Linked DNA regions of Danio rerio. The protein of the gene in region 1 interacts with the protein of each later gene in a pairwise test. Links are inferred from orthologs where the notes say so. Each region holds a gene or a part of one and is shown in the gene's direction. Other genes may lie near its edges.

Region 1 (5,390 bases):
AAGCAGGGTCAGTACCTGGGCAGACGGTCAGCACGATCAGTATTTGGATATAAAGGAAAGCCACATGAAAAAGCTAGATTGCTGCCGGAAGTGACATTAGTAAAACCAGCAGGGGGTGCTCAACCTGCAGTCTGTGTGGGTCCTCACGCCCCAGTATTTCGGATGAGATCGAGAAGAGAATCAGAGAATTTTCCCACTGTCCATTATGGCCTCCTAACCATCCCCATATCACTCTTCGCCAATCGCCAAGTGGTGTGCGATCTGGCTGCCATCGCGTCATCCAGGTGGATGCTGCACACTGGTGATGGATGAGGAGATTCCCTTCAAAAAATGTGTAAAGTTCTTTGAGTGTCCAGAAAAGTGCTATATAAATGTAAGGATTTTAAATTATTATTAATGTGTTCTATCTAAGGTTGACAACAATGAAAATCTTTTTTTTTTCTGTTAGCCCTAACAAGAATTAACAAGACTAATTATTTGCATGATGTTTTTGGTGTTAATATCTAAGTGAACCACCTTCAAAGCATCAAGTTAAAAGAAATTAAAAAATATATTAAATATATAAATTAAAATACTTCAATATAGCTATAAAAATGTCTATTTTAACCATTCAGATCCAGTCCTAGTATGAGCAACAGGGTCTCAAAAAGAAAGCAGGAAAGAAAGATCGCTTTGATGCCTCCTTTCTCTGGAAGACTCGTCACTTTTCACACAAGGCCTTCCCTTGTCCCAGGCCGGCTCACATGCACACCCTCTTGTGAAAGCCCAGTCTGGGAGCTGTTAAAGGGAGCTGCAGGTTTATTTTTCCAACTGGCCAACTGTGACAGTTGCCTTTATTGTGCATTGTTGAGTCTGTGTGTGTGTGTTTGTGAAGGGGTTACAAATGGAGCCTACTCTCACCTTCCTGCCAGGGCAAAGGGTCAGGTCAGCTGCTATGACTCCCTTCTTTCTCTAGCTTTCTTCATCATCTGTTTTTCCCTGGTGTGGAATGTGGCCCCTCAGAAGGTAGAGACCGAGAACAATGGGTGATTGTGGGGCCTGCAGACGTGTGTCTGTGTGTGTGTGTTTTAGCACAGATATATGACCTCAGACACACAATTGCACACACATGAACTCATTAACAGACGTGCTCATTTGGACATTTGAACGCTTTAGGGGTTTAGTGCACTCAAACACACACACAATTTTTGATTGGTGGTAGTCTGGGGTAATACCGCAGTGCGACTACATCCTGTTGAGTGATTTAGTCTTCCCCTCCTGCCGTCTGCTCTGGGGCTGCTCGTATGTCAGAGCGTTCTCAGCTTTAGTTCGAGGTCGGAGGTCAGCTCATGCTAAATGTGTAGCGAAGGCTAGGTAAACATCAGGGTGATAGCACATCTCGGGAGGAGCACATCTGGGCACAATGCTTCCTGGACTAGCTCTTTGACCTGTGGCCTGTGTCCTTTAACCCTTGCAGGCACCCCGGACAGTCTGGCGGAGAAAGAGCGGCAGTTGATGGGGATGATCACGCAGCTCAGCAGTCTCCGAGAGCAGTTACTGGCTGCCCACGAGGAGCAGAAGAAACTGGCTGCTTCACAGATTGAAAAACAACGCCAGCAAATGGAGTTAGCAAAACAGCAACAGGACCAGGTCAGCAAATATTTACAATGTTCGTCATGCGCATGTCTCACTAGTTATATTCAGTTTTATCCAAACTTTTTCAAATGAAGCCAAATAACAATGACCAGAGGGCAATGTAGGCTGATTGTAAATATGCAATATAGGCATTAACCAAGCACAATGCAATAAAACACAAGGCTTGGTGAGTAATGTAGTCTCAATGGTCAAAAATTATTACCAACAATTGTTTTCTGATAGGTATGTAAGTACGTGTTCTGTAAGTATGCCACTTAGCAATGCATTTTACTGCTAAAAGAACAGAAAGAAAATTGATCTGAAACTTGTCTTAAAAGTAGCAGACATTTTTAAAATTGACCCCTGTGGTATGTCAGATTACAGAACACATACCAAAGTTGTCTGTGCATGTAATGCTGGTATTTAAAACATTACGGGGACCTTAAACATTATTATTATTATTTTAATTTTCCTCTTTTGGTCCCCATGAAGAGAATGGCTCATAAATAAACCAGAATTAATCATTATGAAAATGTAAATCTGTAGAATGTTTAAGGGAATGACAAACCAAACAATCTGTACAGTCTAAAAATCATTACGTCTAGGAAACCTGTGTGTTTGCATATATTTATGAAAGGTACAGTTTGTAAGATTCTCCACTTTGAACCAAATTCATAAAGAAACCTTCTGTTCTCTCCATCCCGCTTGTAAGTGTATGAGAAACATTTAGGTCCCCTCCAGCACACAAGCAGGAGACTAAAGGTGTTTGCATACAGAAGAGAGTGCTTGGGCTTTGTTGTGTGCATAGTTGCTTCTGGGGAGCTTAGTTTTACAAAAGAAAACAGATCTGTATTAACACATTTACTTACACACCCCTGTACACATACACATAAACATGCACAAGCGCACAACGCTCCAGGACTAGGCGCCACTCCTTAGCAAATATGTCTAAAATACAAAAACACACCCAAGAGTTTCAAACAGTGCACCATCAACAATTCACTCATCCCAATCTCTATCTACACAAATAATGTTCTCTATTATTGGAGAAGAGTTTGACATGTTTGACAGTTTGACATGTTCTGTCCACAGATTGCACGACAACAGCAGCAACTTCTGCAGCAACAACACAAAATCAACCTCCTGCAGCAACAGATCCAGGTGAGTCTTCATATATATACAGTATGTGCATGTCCAGTATTAGGACTGTATACTTGTTTGCACTTATGCTTTTGAACGCAAATGTTTATAAGATGTCACAATGTGAGAGTCTTGTCACCATGACTGTGGGGTTTCATGACAATCAAACATTTCAGTCTGCCAGTCAGCAATCAACCCCCCTCATCAAATCACAAATGTAAGAGTGGAGCTTATATTTAGTGTCCATTCTTGTAGTCCTTTTTGTGAAACAATCAAAATATAACTACACAAAACAAAGAATCACAAAGCTGTCCTCTGAATTACTGTACATCCAATTTCAAGACAATCCTGAACACATTATGACAGCTCAGTGGAAGATATTTAAAGATTAGAAAAATGACTGAGTTTACTGCAGCTCAGGGCATCCAGGATAAAGGTGATTCTTAAAATGTAAATCAATGGCTACTGTCACTTTGAAATTCAACAGGCAAAATTAAATGAACACCAGTGTCTTCTGATGATAATGATAAAACGATAGGTCTGTGAAAGAAAACAGAAAACACTACAGCTACTTGCTATATTTCAATGAATAGTTTGCGTAAAAGAACACATGGGTAAAGTCCTGCTGGCTGGTAAGGGAGCTTGTGGAAAACTGAACACAGACACTTTTTTGATGGGTTTGTCCCAGCTGACTTATACATGGGGCAGAGAAACACTGGCCTGCTTTGTGTGTGCAGGTGTGAAGCGAATAAAGTCTTTGTGTGCAAAAGGAAATGAGATGAGTCTAATTTGGTTGATAAAATGAGACTTAGCCTTGAGAGGGACTCCGGCAGTTTTGGCCAGGAAGCCACATCACACTGAGACTATTCACACACGCATACACAGATCAGTCCCGTCCGCTGGACCCCTGCCATTCTTTTTAGTGCCTGGCTGTGTGTGTGTGTGTGTGTGTGTGTAGCAGCTGTGGTTGCTCGTGTGTGCATGTTCATACTATACAGCTTAGTCTGAACATGTGTATGCGAGAATTATCTGTGTCTATTTCAAAATCCTCACCAGCTCATGTCTGTATATGTGTCAGAAGCAGCTGTGTGTGCGTCAGTCCCCAAAACACGTCCGCTTGGGTTTTTCTAGCCCCACTCTTCACTCAGAGAAACAAAGCTTCTTTTTCCCATGACTTTGCAACCTTTTCCCAAACAAGCACTTCTCCATTCAGCCCAGTGGAACAATAGTTTCTCACAGTCAACGCGGAGGCAGTGGAGGGGGGAGAGAGGGGGAGACCCTTGTTATGGGCCAATCATGTATTAGCCCAAAATCACCTCCTTAAATCACGCATTTAAATTGTGTAGCATACAGACCGCTAACATACTCTGACCAAACACTTGCTTCATGTCTGAACTCTGGAGTTTTACAACACATTACTAAGGTCAATATCCAAATTCCATGTTTAAAGAAAATATTTAAACTATTGTTCCCGGCCTTATTTTTATATATTTATTGTATGACATTACCTTTTTGCCATCTCTTACCCTCATCAAAATTGGTTCACACAGATACGCATCACATTAAATAAGTCAAATGGAGTGCTGTTTTATGTTGACTTTTGAGTTTCAATGGAATTTTGCTCCTGTGGCGCATTGAAAACTCCTTGAAGAGTTACTTCTCTGCAGAAATATGCACACAGTTAACACATATATACCTCTCAGTGTGGGGCCACTTCTTTAGGCTCTTGGGGGTAACATCTACACACTCTTTGCTTCTTATTAAAGCGTCTTCTCTCAGGACCCCTCACGGGGCCTTAACAGGACTCCTGACTGTTATCCAACCAGAAACACAGGCTTCTTTGGATGAAAGAATACACCTGCCGAGAAGCTTGCGGCACACACGCAGAAGCATGAGGCATGAAATGCAATACATATAATGCATTTCCATGCTTAACGACAGGTGTAATGTTGAAAAAAAACCTGTGGGTGCAATGGCTGTGAGCTGCCCACTGGTACAACCTCATTCTGAGCTTCGCCGTACTCCCAACATTTTCCCCCTTCACTTTTCTCTCATTAGCAGCCTCCTTTCAGCACACCTCCTCCGGCTCTGCGGGACTTCGCGCTGGTGTTAGAAAATTTCCAATACGTAGCGCAGGGGCCGAGATGAGGATTCTCTGCTGTCAAAGTGTCAGTTACCGCGGGTAGCCAGACCTCCCATGAGGAGATGTTTTTGCGGGCTAATTTGATGTATAACTATGGCCATTTAGCACAATGGCATAAGCCACACCAAACAAAACAAGCACGGCTGTCACTTTTTTTTTTAAAGCTTTCTAACTAGTTTAAGACACGATGCCGACACAAACCGGTGACTGCTTGTAAAACATGTATTAGAGTCAACCTCCATTTCAGGAAAGCTAACCAAATAAAGAACTTCCACTGCGGTAGCCTATACATGTCAAACACTGCATGATCACTTCCTAACTCAATCATACTCATTTGCCGAGTGCCAGTGCCTCCTTGAGATTGTAAATCCATTTTCCCACGGAATGAGAGTTAAAAAGAAGGTTGAGGAGAAAAAAGACAACAGAAGCGTTAGACCAGGTCCTGTGCACAGGAGCGGCTAACCCAATTGGGTGTGTAATTGTTTAATTTGTC
Region 2 (4,625 bases), on another chromosome or scaffold:
TATATGATGTGCATTTATTTATACAAATTAAGCATCTAAACAGGTCAGTACTGAAAGTTGAGGTTGACAGCATAGTGTATCAAGTAAAATAAATAATGATAATTAAAAAAAAAAGGAAAGAAAAATCTAAAAAAAAGAAAGAAGAGGAAAATCTACACTCACCGGCCACTTTATTAGACCCATTTTGCCTTAAGAACTGCTTTAATTCTTAGTGGCATAGATTCAACAAGGTACTGGAAATATTCCTACATATTCCATATTGACATGATAGCATCATGCAGTTGCTGCAGATTTGTTGGCTGCACATCCATGATGCGAATCTCCCACCACATCCCAAAGGTGCTCTATTGGATTGAGATCTGGTGACTGTTGAGGCCATTTGAGTACCGTGAACTCATTGTCATGTTCTGAGATGATTCACACTTTATGACATGGCATGTTATCCTGCTTTAAGTAGCCATCAAAAGATGGGTAAACTGTGGTCACAAAGGGATAGACATGGCCAACAACAATACCCAGGTAGGCTGTGGCGTTGACACGATGCTCAACTAATGACCCCAAAATGTGCCAATATCCTCCACACCATTACACCACCACCACCAGCCTGAACTGTTGATACAAGGCAGGATAGATCCATGCTGTCATGTTGTTGACGCTGAATTCTAACCCTACCATTTAAATGTTGCAGAAATCGAGATATATCCCAGTGTGGTCTTCTGCTGCTGTAGCTCATCTGCCTCAGCGTTGGATGTGTTGTGTGTTCAGAGATGCTCTTCTGCAGAGCTCGGTTGTAACGAGTGCTTATTTAAGTTACTGTTGCCTATCTATCAGCTAGAACCAACAACAAGGCAAGAATCAATAAGGCATTTGCATCCACAGAACTGCCGCTCACTGGACATTTTCTGTTTTTCAGACCATTCTCTGTAAACCCTAGAGATGGTTGTGCGTAAAAATCCCAGTAGATCAGCAGTTTCTGAAATTCTCAGACCAGCTTGTCTGGCACCAACAGCCATTCTGATGCTCGGTTTGAACTGCAGCAGATCGACTTCATCATGTCTACATGCCTAAATGCATTGAGTTGCTGCCATGTGATTGGCAGATTAGAAATTTGCGTTAACAAGCAGTTGGACAAGTGTACCTATTAAAGTGGCCGGTGAGTGTATATTAAATTGAATTGGCACTTCAGGAAAGGGTTGTTATGCTTGTGCTATATCAGCACTAAGACTCATCTGGAAGGTACAGACTAAAAGTGCAAGATGGGCAACAGTTCAGTCTAAAGTAGGATCAAAAAGGATTTAAGATGCTCCATCTATAGCCACCAAATGTTCAAAATTGTAATCACTGAACCTCAAAGACTATATTTAACTATTTCTTTAATCCATTGAGTTTCTTTAATCCATTGAGTATGGCAGTGTTTCCCAACCCTGTTCCTAAAGCCACACCAACAGTACACATTTTCAACCTCTTCCTAATCAAGCACACCTAAATCAACTCATCCGAACAGTAGAAGAGCCTCCGAAACCTGAAGTTAGCGGGTCAGATAAGCAAGACATCCATGTGCTGTTGGTGTGCCTCCAGGAACAGGGTTGGGAAACACTGGAGTTTGTGATGTTTTTATTGTATTTTTTATTGTTTGTATTTTTGGTGTCTGCAGCTGGACTCTCCTCCTGTGACCCCTGTTCCTCTGCCCATCTCTCGGGCCAGCAGTGCAGGATCAACCCTGTCCTCCACCTCCAAAACCCCCACCACCCGCCGCCGCTCACACAGCCAACTGTCCACAGGTGAACACACACACTCTCACACACATTTAACAATTACTCAAACTCTGATGCAGTGATCTGATAATGATACACGTCTCACACACTGATTGAGTACAGGTCACGTCCTGTGATTCTCTGTTCTGCGCATTGTGACGCTGTAATTGGTTGGTTTCCAGATAGACAGGTAGACAGAGGCAGCCCATTGGTTGGGGACGGTGGGCAGGTAGGTGGGGTTTTCTGTGGTTGGTCGCTTGGCATGAACTGCTCAGCATGGCATGGTGCCCCACATGTCGATGCCCACCCATCTAACACAGCCTAACACTGAGTGTGTGTGAGTGTATGTGTGTGAGAGCGGTAGAGCGAGTGAGTGTGTGTGTGAGAGAGCGCAAGTGTGTGAGTGATCATGTGTGTGTGCGTGTACATATGAGCGTGCGTGCGAGCAAGTGTGCGAGTATGCTTGTACAAGTGAGTGTGCAGGCGTGTGCGAGCAAGTGAGTGTGTGTGCAAGCATGCGTGTGCGAGCAAGCGTGTGTCTGATAGTGTGATGTGTGTGAAGCGAGATCAGCTGCTGTTTTGTCCGTGTGTGTCTTTTTCTTTGGTCTTGTTCAAGCTTTCTGTAGTTTATTTCTTGATGTTGTCCTGTGTGTGTGTTCTGCAGTTGGGCACTGTTTTCACTGTATGTCTTTTTTAAGTGTGTGTGTGTGTGTGTGTGTGTGTGTGTGTGTGTGTGTGTGTGTGTGTGTGTGCGTGTGTGCGTGCGTGTGTGTGTGCGTGTGTGCGTGTGTGCGTGCGTGCGTGCGTGCGTGCGTGTGTGTGTGTGTGTGTGCTTGTGTGCGTGTGTGTGTGTGCGCGCGCGTGCGTGTGTGCATGCATGCGTGCGTGCGTGTGTGTGTGTGAGAGTGAAAGTGACAGAGTTTAGCTGTTTGTATTTTGGTTGACGTCTTCACCTCGAGCTCTGCTTCTGATTGGCTGGGCTGTGCTGTGGTGCTGATATAACATGTTTTTGTGAGGTGATTTAATTATTAGAGTCACAAATGTTCAACACGAATTACCGCAGCTCTGTTGCAAAACCTAACGAGCTGCTTTCTCACAACGCCAGAAGAATAAAAGCTAAATATTATTCAGCATTTTCATTAAATGAACAACTTTTAAAGGGGTCCTATTGTGACTTTTATTTTACAGCCAGTAATGCCCGTCTCGGGTCTTCCCAATCTCTTTAAATGCAAATAAGTTGCTGGGACCCACCCACTTTTGCAGAGGGCGGAGCCTTTACAGCTCCACCCTCAGTTACTCCAGCAAAAAAAAAAAACAGAACATCTGCACACACTTGAAGTCTTTCTTCTAAAGATTTAAGCATAGACAACATGATAATGGGAAAGTTCAGCCAAAAAAATATTTGAGTTTCTTGTGTTGAACACGAAAGAAGATATTTTGAAGAATGCTGGTTGATGGCACCCAAGCACCAGATTGATTTTACGGCACTAGCTAAACTTTCTGACACCTTTACAACACTCACGTACATTTAAAATAAATACAGGCCACGACTTAACATGGAGAATGATCTTTAAGTAGCGGTCTCCAAATTTAAACAAAGAAAAGACGTGATTTAACTTAAATATTGTGCCCTCCAGTCTCATTAGGAGAGGTTAATGTTACATAATAATAAAAAATGATTTGGGTGTTTAGACTGTTACACTTTTTTGTGTTATCAATATGCTTGTGTTTATATAGGCCTATTGGTAGGCCCACACGGAATCTGCACGCGCAGAATTCAGCAGATTTTTAGCCCATCATTAATTCTGTTTATTTACTTGAGTAAATGTGTAAATCTGAAGTTATTCAGTTTTTACTCAGTAATTTATTATTTTTTATTTCATATATTAAGGTTTTAGTTATGATACTGCGCTGGATACTCCCAAAATAATTCAGCAGAAATCCGCAGATAATTACCAAAATTTTCTGCAGAAATAGCAAAACACGTGCGCAGATTCCGTCTGGCCCTGCCTATTGGTTTGTGTGAGTGTTGTGTGCAACGTTTGTATGATTATAACCACTTTCGAAAATAGTGGGGGTTGTGAGTCATTGGCATTGTTATTTTTGGGGGTCCCGGGCTGAAAAGTTAAGGAACCCCTGCGTTGCACCATTTATTTCAATGCTTGCCATCAACCAGATTTTTTCAATATATCTTTGTGCTCAACACAAGGAAAAAAAACTCAGAACAAAGTAATTGCTGCAGTGATTTTTATTTTTGGGTAAACCATCCCTTTAATTAAAGGTATGGTTATTTTTTTTCGTCATAAGCTGTTCACACATTAGTGATTTAAAAAATATATCATTATTAATAATAATAATAATAATAATAATAATAATCAATACATTTTTTAAGAATCTAATGAAAATGTCTATGTGTACTTGTATCTATAAGCTAGTTCCTGTAGGTTTTGCAAACAGAGCAAATGTTTCTCAGAGCTTCGAGTAACAATGACTAAGGGTGTACTCACAATATGCACCGTTGCCTTGAACCAGGCCAAAGCATGCTTGACCATCTTCCGTCTCCCCCGATGGCCCGCACTCACATTACATTCGGGCCTGGGCATGCTTACGTCATCGATGCTGCGCTGTTCAGTAAGCGCTTTCACTCTTCACAGTGGAGATTTTAGTCATTTTAGTGGTTCGATATGCAGTGACATGCAGTCAAATATTTCGCCGAACAGATCAGCATCTTTTGACGCTCATAAACAATCATAAAGTCCTCGTGCTGCAGGAATTAGGAGGTTTGCTGAAGGTGCAGCTGTCGTGCAGTGAGGGGTTTGCATCTTTAATATACTACGACAGTTTGTGTTCATTAAACAGTAAGAATGATTA
Region 3 (5,390 bases), on another chromosome or scaffold:
TAAGCTGGATTTAGCTGGTCATTTTCCAGCTTGACCAGCTAAGACCAGGCTGGAAATGGCTGGAAACCAGCCTGGAAGTGGCCAAAACCCCTCTAAAACCAGCCTGGTTGAGCAGCTAAAACCAGCCAACTAGCCTAGGCTGGTTTAAGCTGGATTTTTTAGCAGGGAACACACTTATCTTTATAATGATATAAATTGTGGTTATGTGTATATGGAATTACAAATAACAAATGTAGCAGGGCATTAAATTACTGTTTATTTCTTTGCATTTTAACTTTGTGAACTATATACTCATGCGTCTCCTCACGGTTTGTCTCAATTTGTGAGCTAACTGACATCAACAGTTGTTTGCTCCCCTTCTCCCCTGTTGGCCACGCCCACTCCTGCCCTATGCCCGTGGAGCTCCACGCCCATTAATCAAGCATCTTTTGAAAAAATTCTGAAGTAGACTTTAAATGAAAGTGGGGGGTGTCATGGCCCTTTAAAATGTCCTCAATGTTTACCATTGCCACGCTAATAATGACTCTAAACTTGAACACAAGATATTTTGAAGAATATAGTGCCGTTGACGTTCATAGTAGGACCAAAAACTACTATGGATGTCAATTATTCAGTATATCTTCCTTTTCTTTCTTGGTAAGGAACTCAAACTAGTTTATAAAAACACAAGTGGAGTGATATTATTATATTAATCTGGGGTGTTTAGGTCTGACATCATTAAGTGCAGAAGTTTGTGATCTATGAACGTCACATCTAGCAGACAGGCGAATGAATCTGTTTTTGTGCACACGTTTTCTCTGAAGCACACTGATACATAAGGAATCATTTGAAGAAAAGGTAGTGATGCGGCTGCTACAGCTTGAGTGTGCATTATTTTTTAATTAATCAACAATTCAAGTGAATTACTCTGCTTAATCTCGGGTTCCCACAGCTAAAGCTACTGTTCAGATGTTGTATTTCAGACATTTGTCAGGCTTTTGTCCTCAATCTGCTCCTGTGTGTTGCATTGGTTTCTTCCACATCTCCTCCAAAGCCTTGAGTTGTGTTTTGATGTGATTTTTGACTGTTGTAGCTGTGAAATAACTCATTTAGCATAGTGATACAGAGCTGTAACACACTCAAAACTTGCCGGAACTACTTTAGCTGTGCATTCATCTGAAACAGTACAGCTTAGAATGCTCATCAGCCAATCAGAATCAAGCATTCAACAGCTGTAGTGTAAGCACATTACAGTAATGGCGGAGTGGTACGGTACTGTACGGTTCGGTTTGGTATGCTTTTATGGCCGTTTCCACTATTAAAAGGCGTACCGAACCAAACCGTACCGTACCACTTATTCAGCACCCTTTCGAAAGGGTCCCAAACACAAGAAAGGGTACCAAAAGGCGGAGCTAGACGTGCAGCTGAACGCTATAGGTTTACAGAGATATGTCATTCGCTTAGGCAACAAGCTAGAATGTAAACAAAGGACCCGCCATGTTTGAAATACACAGCGAGAGATTACTTGCGCTCGCCGCGCGTCTATATCTGAAATAACAAACCTCTTGAGCTGATGATAATAACTTGCGCTTGCTAATTGACATGCTTTTGGAAACCCGACTGCTGCAGTTTTCCATTGGGGGTCTATAATTACATGGTGTTCGCTCACAGGTAACAGCGAGGAGGCAGTGGAAGAACGTGTATGACGAGTTGGGTGGTAGTCCAGGCAGTACAAGCGCAGCCACCTGCACACGCAGACACTATGAAAGGTAAACAAATCACCAAAACAACAAACATTAAGATTTCATGTGGACTTTAATAACATGTAGTAACAATGTGGGCCGTTTTCATGCTGTCACTTTTCTGGAGGTGGACTGCAGCATTGCAGAGCTCATTCAGCAGATCCTCTAGTTTTTCACGATTATGTTTTTTTTGTGAATTTTTTTTTTTGTGATAAATGTGACTGATTTTGTGGTGGTAATTGGCAGAAATTTGCAGACAATTTTGTTATTAAACACACACATATATATATATATATATATATATATATATATATAGATAGATAGATAGATAGATAGATAGATAGATAGATAGATAGATAGATAGATAGATAGATAGATAGATAGATAGATAATATATTTACTATATTAGGTGGCCTACAATGTTTCAAATCATAAAAATAAAGCTTCTTTATTTTGGTCCAGGGAAAGAGTTAAATGAAAACATTTATTGATTTCAAGAACATTATATTACACACATTTCAGAGCCTCTGCATCGCCTGGGTTGTTTCGTCTCCAACTTTAAAACTCATTTGTGTTTGCAGGTTGGTTTTGCCCTTTGAGCGGCAGCTGAGAGGAGAAGAGGACAAACCACTGCCACCGTCCAAACCTCGCAAACAGTACAAGAGGAGCCCTGAGAACCGGGGGAGCAAACCAGAGAGCAAGAAGAAGAGGAAGATGGAGAGAGACGAGAGCGAGGTCAGAGGACAATAACGAAACTCACTTTAAGCTGAATACTAGTATCTTGAAGAATATCTAGTCAAGTATTATGTGCTGTCAACATAGCAAAGAGAAAAGAAATCTTATTAATCTTAATAGAATCTTAATCTTATAGAAAGTTATTAGAAATGAGTTATTAAAACTGTTTACAAATGACTTCTTTACATTAAAAAGCACTTGGGAAATATTTCAGGGGAAAAATTCACATTTAAAATTGTCAACTGTACATCAAAATATCAGAATTGGGTGAAAGAAATTGGTTATTGGGATTAAATATTGGGAAACACTTCATTTTGATGGTTCATTTGAGTATCAGTAGACTGTCTGCTTAATATCTGTTGATACTGCTGCTAATCAGACATTTAACTGACTATAAGAAACTTTGCAAGTACATGTTCAACTTACACTAACTCTAACCCTAACAGTCTACTTATAATCTGATGAGAGTTAGTTGGCATGTAGATGCAGTGTAACTTAAATTCAACAAACGGACCATCAAAATAAAGTGTGACCAAGTATTGCGATATGTGTATATATTGAATTATTCTCCAGCCCTATGCTATAATGCTCTGATGTTCAAGTCTTAAGACTAAGGGATCTAAAATAAAATGGCAGTCTTTTGGAAACAATATGACCAAAAAGCCAGCAAGATCATCTCAAATATGTCTGTCACACAGTCCACAAAACGAGGTGTTTCATGTGCCTAAAAGTCAATGGACGTGAATGAAGCTCTGCCAGGAAGTTTCTAGTATCTGAGAGCTTATTTAGCTGGTTTAAGTATGTTTGATTAGAGTTGAAGCTAACCTCTTTAAGACACCGGCCCTCCTGGACTGAGTTTGGACATCTCTATGGTATGGTAACCTAAATATTCCAGGATTGTTAATGGGTGAAGTAAAATCATTGGTAAAACACAAAGTAACTTGATCTCTACCAATGTAAAGTCAAACAAAAGGCTTTAAAATAGCAGCCCTGTCATAGAGTCATATTAAAAATCTAAATACTCTCCACAGAATTTTGCACACCATATCAAATTTAGTCTTGTTCACTCAGTAATGATTTAACCTCCTAATTAAAATGACCTTTCTTGGGCTTTCTTACAAATGCTTTCGGTATTCTCTGAAAAGTCCCGTGAAGTGCTTTGAAATGTGCATTTTTATTCGATGTTTGACGCATCTTAACTTAAACATGAAGAGAGGGCGGGGCATAGAGTAGCCCCTCCCCTTTAAAAAAAACGGCCAATAGCGTTTTGTTTTTATCACAGCTCTACCAGTCAGAGTGGTTGATGTAAATGTCAAGCATCTGAAAGGGGCGGGGCATGTCAGATACTAAAGACCATTTGATTGGTCAGAAGATTTGATGAGAAACTAAAGTATGAGTTGACATTAATAAAATCGTTGACCCATTTAGGTGGAAGAGACAACCTACAAACTTTACATGTTTCTATTACTTTAATATCTCCTAAACACGGATTTTGTCACTGTTTTGATGCGTACTAGCTTAATGATCTCCTAAAAACAAAGAATACTGATACAAACATTTAAAAACTAGTGGACACATTGGACCTTTAAGATTGGAATCCATATATAATCCCCTAAACCAGGGATGGGCAAACTTGATCCTCGAGGGCCGCTGTCCCTGCACAGTTTTGTTCCAACACTAGTCAAACACACCTGAACAAACTAATCAGTGTCTTCAAGATCACTTGAACTCTATAGGGAGGTCTGTTTGAATAGGGTTGGAGCTAAACTATGCAGGACACTGGCCCTCCAGGATCAAGTTCGCCCACACCTGCCCTAAACACTACCGTTCTTACACTACTGTAAGTTCTAAAGTATCCCACTTTTCTTTTCAGGAGAAAATGTTGTCTGATCACCACTGTGACAGAGGCAGGTGTTCTCATCACAGTCCATGGCTGATATCCTCTGATCGCCTTGACTCCGAGCACACATCCACAGCTCCAGTCCTTGGCATGAGCTCCAGGGAGAACCCGCTTCTCCAGACTTCCAGCCCGCCCGAAGTCATCTCCCCCCTGGAGAAGAAGAAGCGTCTGGCTCAGGCTAGCCTCACTATCCCTGCCTCAGAGGACGGTGGAGAACTTGAGCGACCCTCCGTTATCCACATATCCCACTCTTCCCAGTCTAACACTCGCGGTCGCCACTCCTCCGATGGCTCTCCTGTCCCAGTCTCCTCTCCTTCTGGATCCCTGTCTCGAAGCCCCTCTCCATACTCCGTCTCCTCCGAGGACTGCATAGCCGTCACGACTCAAAAGTCTCCAGCTAAAGAGCCTGAAAACAAAACAGCGACTCGTTTGCCAGCTCTGTCCACATCCAAAGCTGTCAGCACCGGAGTTTGCAAACCACTCAGCTGTTACCCCAACACCAAAGAACTCGCCAACTATCCCCGCTTACATTATCGAGAGTTCCTGCAAGCTGGTGCAACAGAAAAGACCCAGAGGAGTCTTTTAGCATGGACCTCTGATGATAAATCCAGACTTGCATCCCATAGGCTGCCCTTGCCAGCCTACACCAAACCCTACTGGGTCCCTCATGCCTCCAGCTTCTCCAAGGTCTTGCCCCGGGATCCCTGCAGGCCCATGTCATCACTACAGCCCTCTTTTAAACCGCACATGTCCTCCTACCACCAGCACCTCCTAAAGAGACCTGATGAAGCCTACTTGAAGAAGATGCCAGTATCTTCTCCGATTCGCATTACGGACAGGAAGGAGAAGGCAAAGACGGCGTTGCCCAAACCTCTGCCTACCCAGCAGTACCTCTTCCACCCGCATGGCGGACTCACTGTGCCCTACCAGCCAGCTTTAGAAAGACTTCGAGGAGACCTGACGGTTGAACAATTAAAAGCTCTACCTCTGCAGCCCGTGCTTTTTCCAACACATCTGTCAATTCCTCCTGCTCA
Region 4 (5,977 bases), on another chromosome or scaffold:
TTGGATTTTGTTTGGAAATGAAAATCGGGTTGACGTCAAAACCCAATGTCAGGCCAACGTCAATGTCCAACGTCCAACCTAAAAATCGACCAAATGTCAACATCTAATTATGCTACACCTTAACGTTGTGTGGACATTGCCACTATAACATCTATCAGACATTGGATTTTGGTCACTTTCCAACACAACCTAAAATCAACCTAATTATTATTGGATGTCAAAATAATCTGACGTCATGACCTAAATCTAACCTACTGTAATAGTAATACCTTATGATGTTGTGTGCCTGCTGGGAAGGGATACCCAAAAATGAAAATTATGTCATCATTTACTCACCCTTCACTTGTTTCAAATCTTTTTGAGTTTCCTTCTTCCATTGAACACAAATGAAGATATTTTGAAGAAAGCTGGAAACACTGATCTCCATAGTACTGTATTTGTTTTTCCTATTATTGATGCCAATACAGGTTTGCAGCTTTCTTCAAAATATCTTATTTTGTGTTCAAGATAAAAAAGAAACTCAAAAAGGTCTATAACACCTAAGGGTGAGTAAATACTGAGTAAATATTCATTTACTCACTTGAGAGTTTCAGAATTAGGTACAAGTAACTACACTGTAAAATTATTTGAACAATTAGTCATGACAGCATATGTTTTTAGTTTGTTGTAACTTATTAAACTAACTTAATTATGTTCGAACTTAATTTTATAAGTTATGCAAGCAGTTTTAAGTCTGTTTTACATAATATAAGTTAAATGGACTCATAAAGTTAATCTTAATTCAGATTAAAAATTTAAGGCAACTAAGATTTTTTAGGCATTTATTTACTGTTATTATTATAGTAAATACAAAAAACCCTGTGTTACAAGGATATCATTAAATATCAAGATTTTTTTTTTATTTTTTTATTTTTTGTAAGTAGTGTTCTAACAGCATGTGGCTTCTCTTATTATTTGTTATTGTTTCTCCATTTAACTGTCAGGGGGCCTTGTGCAGTCCAGCATTCAACTACAATGGGCCACGCTTTCCTTGTTCCCTCAGTTTGTTGTGATTGGATTAATTGGGTGTCATTCACTTCACAAGAGGTCAGCAGACATACATTTGTGGTCAAAAGTCATCCATCTATCACACTGCTGAAATGAAAAGTCAGACATGTCAAGCAAGAGAAGAAGAGAGCAAAGGCTCCAACAATGGATTTTAGGGGCAGGGCAATATCCCAATCTGCTAAGGTTACTACAGTCTATAGTTCAAATTAAACTACAAATGAATGTCTAGGGGCATGGCAGATTTGCACCCTAATGTCTTATGAGCAGATATGAATTACAGTTTCATAATTTATGTCTATTCATCACCTGCTTCGAGGAGTTCCAGATCTCAGAGACATGAAACAAGGCACATTTTCATCTCTACCTTGACAGTGATGTACAATAAAAGCAAATGAAAAACTAGTATGCCAGATCACTTATGGACAAACAGAGCACTTGTAACCTCTGCATCTCTGCTAATGGTTAATCTGGGGTGGATCTCTGCCTTGATTGGATAAGAGTCTCCGCAGGGCAGGTGAAAGCCCATCAATTGCCCACCATGAAACAGCAATACTTGTATCAGCAAAGTAACAGCTAACAATTATATTACCAGAGCCAAACGTGCTCTCCTATCTCACCACTAATCAAAACACAGCCCATCTGTTGTGTTGTGGCTCTCAAAATGACTGTTTATCTGAATATGGAAAGTGAGTCGTCTAGCCTATCATACATATCTAGGAGTATTATTATAATGACAAGAGCGAAGAACGAGAAGAAATTAGATCATGAGAACTGCTTAAAACGCTTTTTAAAAGCTCAAACCCTCTTTTCTCTATTTATAACACACATCACAATCACACAAGAACACACGTACACACACACATCCCCTGTGAGCACTTCACAAAAACACTCACACACACTCTGTTAGACACACACACACTTTCCCTTAGCTGTGCTTTTGTGTTTTGTCAGAATTAATGAGAAAAGTTCCCTTGCCCTAGGGGTAATTAGTGTCCTTGGAGTTAAATAAGCTAATACTTAGACACCTCTGGCACAAGCAATTATGTTTGTGTATTGAATAATTGATTCAAAGAGGGGGGAAGGGCTGCTAATCAGATCTGAGCATAATGAATTGATTTAATTAACAGGGGAATCCGTGGCTCTCTGGGAAGCGCGCGCATTTATTCAGTAGCAGGAGCGCGCGGAGCGCATAAATTGGGTGAGAGAGGCAGCGTGAGCATGCTGTTAGGAGTTGTCAGCCTCAGAATTGGATTTCTTGAATATAGTTACAGTTTCGGAGCAAATGAGAACTGGGAGGAACACGTTTCTACTCCGAGAATAGCTTCTTCGCGGCAGCTCAATTTAAACGGGAGTTTAAATTAGATTTGAGTTAGTGCAGTCGTTTCATTTTCGAATGGAATGCACCGTGGCGTCTCACTTTAGTTTTAGACATCGTTAATTGCAAGCGTGGATATTATACTGACGCGCTGCGCACGCGAACGCGACTAGGGGGACATCGCTGCATGTAATCTCCGAAATACATTAAACAATAGAATAACCGACGCATATGCTTCTCTACATGGCATTCTGTCTCTGAACAGCGGAAAACCAACACAGACGAGCCTGTATAGTTAAAGCTTGTGGCAGCAACGCGGACGATTATTATTTTGTTGTTGCAAAGCAATTTCTTCTCAGAGACGCGAGCGGCGCGCGCAGAAGTGTGCTGGAGCCGAGAGCGGATCGCCTGGAGCCGGACTCCTCGCTCCTCAGGACGATGGTGTTAGACAAGGAAGAGGGTAAGTGCACGGATGATTGTTAGTGCATTCATTTGCTCCGCATGACTATGAAGAACGCGGGACAGTAAGGAAACGCAGCATTTAGCGTCCATTTTCCCTCTGAACGGCACTTTCATGCTCCAGTTCGTTTGTCATATCAAACGGACACGTACGTTCGCCAGGTTTACATGAGGGAGAGAGCGCGAACGCGACTCTGAAACACTTTGAGTCGGGAGAGACATGCCGAATACGGTGTACTTCTCTCACTGTCCATTTGTATATGAATATTGATAATCTGTTAGAAAGACGTAGCGTCCGCATTCACCGCAGTGTTAGTTAGAGCTCGTGCAAATCTGTGAAGTTACGGAGATGTTTTATCAACAGCGGGTGTCTTCGCTCACAGGTGAGAGCATTTGAACCTTAACCTTTACTGAAAGATGTAAACGACAACATTTATACATCACCAATTGGATAGCAGTGTATTGCGTTTGTAAACATGTCAGCGTTTTATAGCCATATGAGCAATGCACTTCTCTGTATTTACGCTGCTGGCTGGTTCCTATGGAAACCGTTTATAAACTTTTCTTTTGGAGGTTGTGGTGCTGACAAGTTTGTGGTGAAGCTGAATCCCGTTTTTTTTTTTTTTTTGTATTCTAATACGTTTTTAAACTGTGTTGAAATGGGAAATAATCCCTTTAAAGCGTCTTTGACCTAAAATGCCTTTCTTGTCATGTTTCTGGGAATACTGTCATCACACACACCTTTAGTTTTAGCCAGGGGCCCTTTCCCCCCCAAACTAACGGCTTGCATTTCAGACCCATATTTATGTTTGAAAATGGATATTTCATATCTCTTTGAGCCAACCATCCTTTCACTAACCCATCTAAAAACCAATAAAGAGATTGCCGTAGAAACATAAATTGGTCTGTCTCGCTCAATCCATGTTGCGCTAATGTACCCAGATTAACTCAACTGTAAATTGTCTCCTTTGGATGTCTGTCTTGCTAAAAGTTCCCCATATGATTCATGATTCAGATTGCTTTTAACAGCTATTGGCTAAGCAATATGGTAAATGTACAAGGTGATGCAAATGGCATTAGTAGGAGAGGATGCACAGGAGCATGTAATGCAGTCAATACTACATTAACTACTGATGCCCAATTACAGAAGCAGGGAGAGTGGCTTTTAGGAGCATTAGGACTTACAGAAAAGCTTAGATCACCTGCTGCTCATTGCCTAAAAGCTTCACCCTTTGCGTGCTGGTGCCGACCAACTGCGCTGGCATTTTGGCAGGGATGGGGAAGCAGCTTGGATCTGCTTTCTCTCTCTCTCTTTCTCTCTCCCTCTCTCTCATACACGCATATACCAACACAGATGCACACACACTTTTAACTAACACAGGAACTGAACAGATAAGTCTGATCCTAATATAAGGCTGTGCTCTAAATATATCAGAGGTACAGTATTCTCAGTTCAGTACATCTTGTACTATATTAAAAGTGAGGGAGGAATTCAATGAATTGTGAAACCCTTGTGAAAGAATAACCATAAGCACGACTTTCATGTTGTCTGTGAACATGAACAGGTCCTCAGTACGTATTAACTTACACTGTGATTCTGCAGATTTAATACAAAAAATAAGTCATAATGTTGTATTTATAATGATTTTGTAAACTACAGAAGATATGTATGTGTTTGGTTTTCAATAACTGAACTTTTAAAGGCTGTCAATGCGAGTCTTTGAAATAACTGCATCCTGCAACAGAAGACTTATCTAGTTACCTTTTCCTCAACATCCTCCAAAAAGTGTGATACGAAGCAGTTTTGCTTTAGTTTTCCATCCACAAATTCACCCTAAGCTGTTGGGAGGCTCTATTAGGAAGTCTTAAAATATGTACAGTTTCCTATGTGAAATATGAGGTCATTCAAATCGCTGTATACTATGTAATGATGTACTAAGCACAGGAGATTGAAAGTAGAGCGATGCGGGGCTTGTGCACACTCTCGCTATTGTACTACTATTACACTGCCTTCCCAAATTATCAGCCCTTTCACATTTCAGCTTTGCTGCCTTTGTCATCAGTTGTCCTTGCACTGTATTTGATCCTGGCAAAAAAAAAGCTGTACTGCTTTCAGGCAATAGCACAATACCATTTAGTACTTTCTTCGCATGGTTTGGGGAAATGTGTTAAGGTACAGAACAAGCACAACTCCTTTTCATGACTACCTTTAAATAAAAGAAGCTCTCGGTTGACTTTTAATTCTCTCTGGAGAAATACGCTATTCAGCCATTTTCTTTCCCTTCAAGGTATTTAAAACTATCTGGATTGGATGGAATAATTGGGTCCTCATTGTGGACTTGTTCAGGATTGATCATTCGCATCGCTGGACTCTGTAAAAACCTGAAAAAGAGAAAAGAACACCTTCCATTCTTCATTCTGATGATAAATTCTTGGTTACCGTTTAATTTACGAGCCCTGCATGCCGACTGACCAATGAAATCCGTTGGTTACTAGCGCATGTACTTGAAATGCAATGTTTCAAATGAATACTAGACCCCTGATCTGTCTGCTGCTGTAATAAAACTCAGGGCTTCAGGCACCGGTTTTTATTTTGAAATAATAAGAATTGCTTCATTCTTTACTCGAGTTACCATGGTAATTCTGTCTTGTAGCAATTTTATATTGATTTAGAGAGTGGACAGTAATATTTCTTTTCCGTTATTCCCCTTTCTGTGGGTTGATTTCTAATTTCCACTTGGAGATTACTTTTATACATTCCTTAAGTCTTTTCACTTTTTTCATCCTGCAAGGTAATTTTCTCTCTTGTATTTGCTATTTTCTCAGCTTATTGGCTTGTTCTTACTCTAAATTAAACTTGCCAATTTCAAATATTGAAATTACATCAATGTTTCTCTCGCCCTGGGTCTCTTGCAATATTGCGCCTGGATTCGGGGCCTAATGCTTGTGTTCCTGCCACTTATATTGCTTCAGCCTGAAGAAATTCCTACTTTATAAACATTCCTCCTGATGCAATTACAGTTCAATATATCTGCAACTGATGTGTCCTCAACACAGAGATCCGTCATTGCTGTGTGGTCTTTAAATTGCCCTGTTTTGAATGCATGATGGTTGGACACATTCTGATGAGGTTGAAATGTTAAACATTACAAGGTG

The links.
Region 2: the proteins of sox5 (region 1) and kifc3 interact in binary tests that used the Homo sapiens proteins (3 or more experiments, as listed by UniProt). The two-hybrid records come from large-scale screens. The link is inferred for Danio rerio from reciprocal best matches to the Homo sapiens genes SOX5 and KIFC3.
Region 3: the proteins of sox5 (region 1) and arid5a interact in a two-hybrid assay, tested with the Homo sapiens proteins (2 studies listed by BioGRID and IntAct). The two-hybrid records come from large-scale screens. The link is inferred for Danio rerio from reciprocal best matches to the Homo sapiens genes SOX5 and ARID5A.
Region 4: the proteins of sox5 (region 1) and lmo1 interact in binary tests that used the Homo sapiens proteins (3 or more experiments, as listed by UniProt). The two-hybrid records come from large-scale screens. The link is inferred for Danio rerio from reciprocal best matches to the Homo sapiens genes SOX5 and LMO1.

What each region holds. Positions count from the first base shown.
Region 1 is NC_133179.1:17,601,922-17,607,311, reverse strand, and holds part of sox5 (transcription factor SOX-5), read left to right. Parts: intron 1-1,456; coding exon 1,457-1,629; intron 1,630-2,706; coding exon 2,707-2,775; intron 2,776-5,390.
Region 2 is NC_133193.1:48,553,358-48,557,982, forward strand, and holds part of kifc3 (kinesin-like protein KIFC3), read left to right. Parts: intron 1-1,654; coding exon 1,655-1,781; intron 1,782-1,936; coding exon 1,937-1,983; intron 1,984-4,625. UniProt on the Homo sapiens protein: Minus-end microtubule-dependent motor protein. Involved in apically targeted transport. Required for zonula adherens maintenance.
Region 3 is NC_133183.1:62,230,637-62,236,026, forward strand, and holds part of arid5a (AT-rich interactive domain-containing protein 5A), read left to right. Parts: intron 1-1,650; coding exon 1,651-1,748; intron 1,749-2,302; coding exon 2,303-2,456; intron 2,457-4,329; coding exon 4,330-5,390. UniProt on the Homo sapiens protein: DNA-binding protein that may regulate transcription and act as a repressor by binding to AT-rich stretches in the promoter region of target genes.
Region 4 is NC_133182.1:28,178,999-28,184,975, reverse strand, and holds the start of lmo1 (rhombotin-1), read left to right. Parts: upstream 1-2,234; 5' UTR 2,235-2,800; coding exon 2,801-2,822; exon of another isoform or gene 2,823-3,170; coding exon of another isoform or gene 3,171-3,204; intron 3,205-5,977. UniProt on the Homo sapiens protein: May be involved in gene regulation within neural lineage cells potentially by direct DNA binding or by binding to other transcription factors.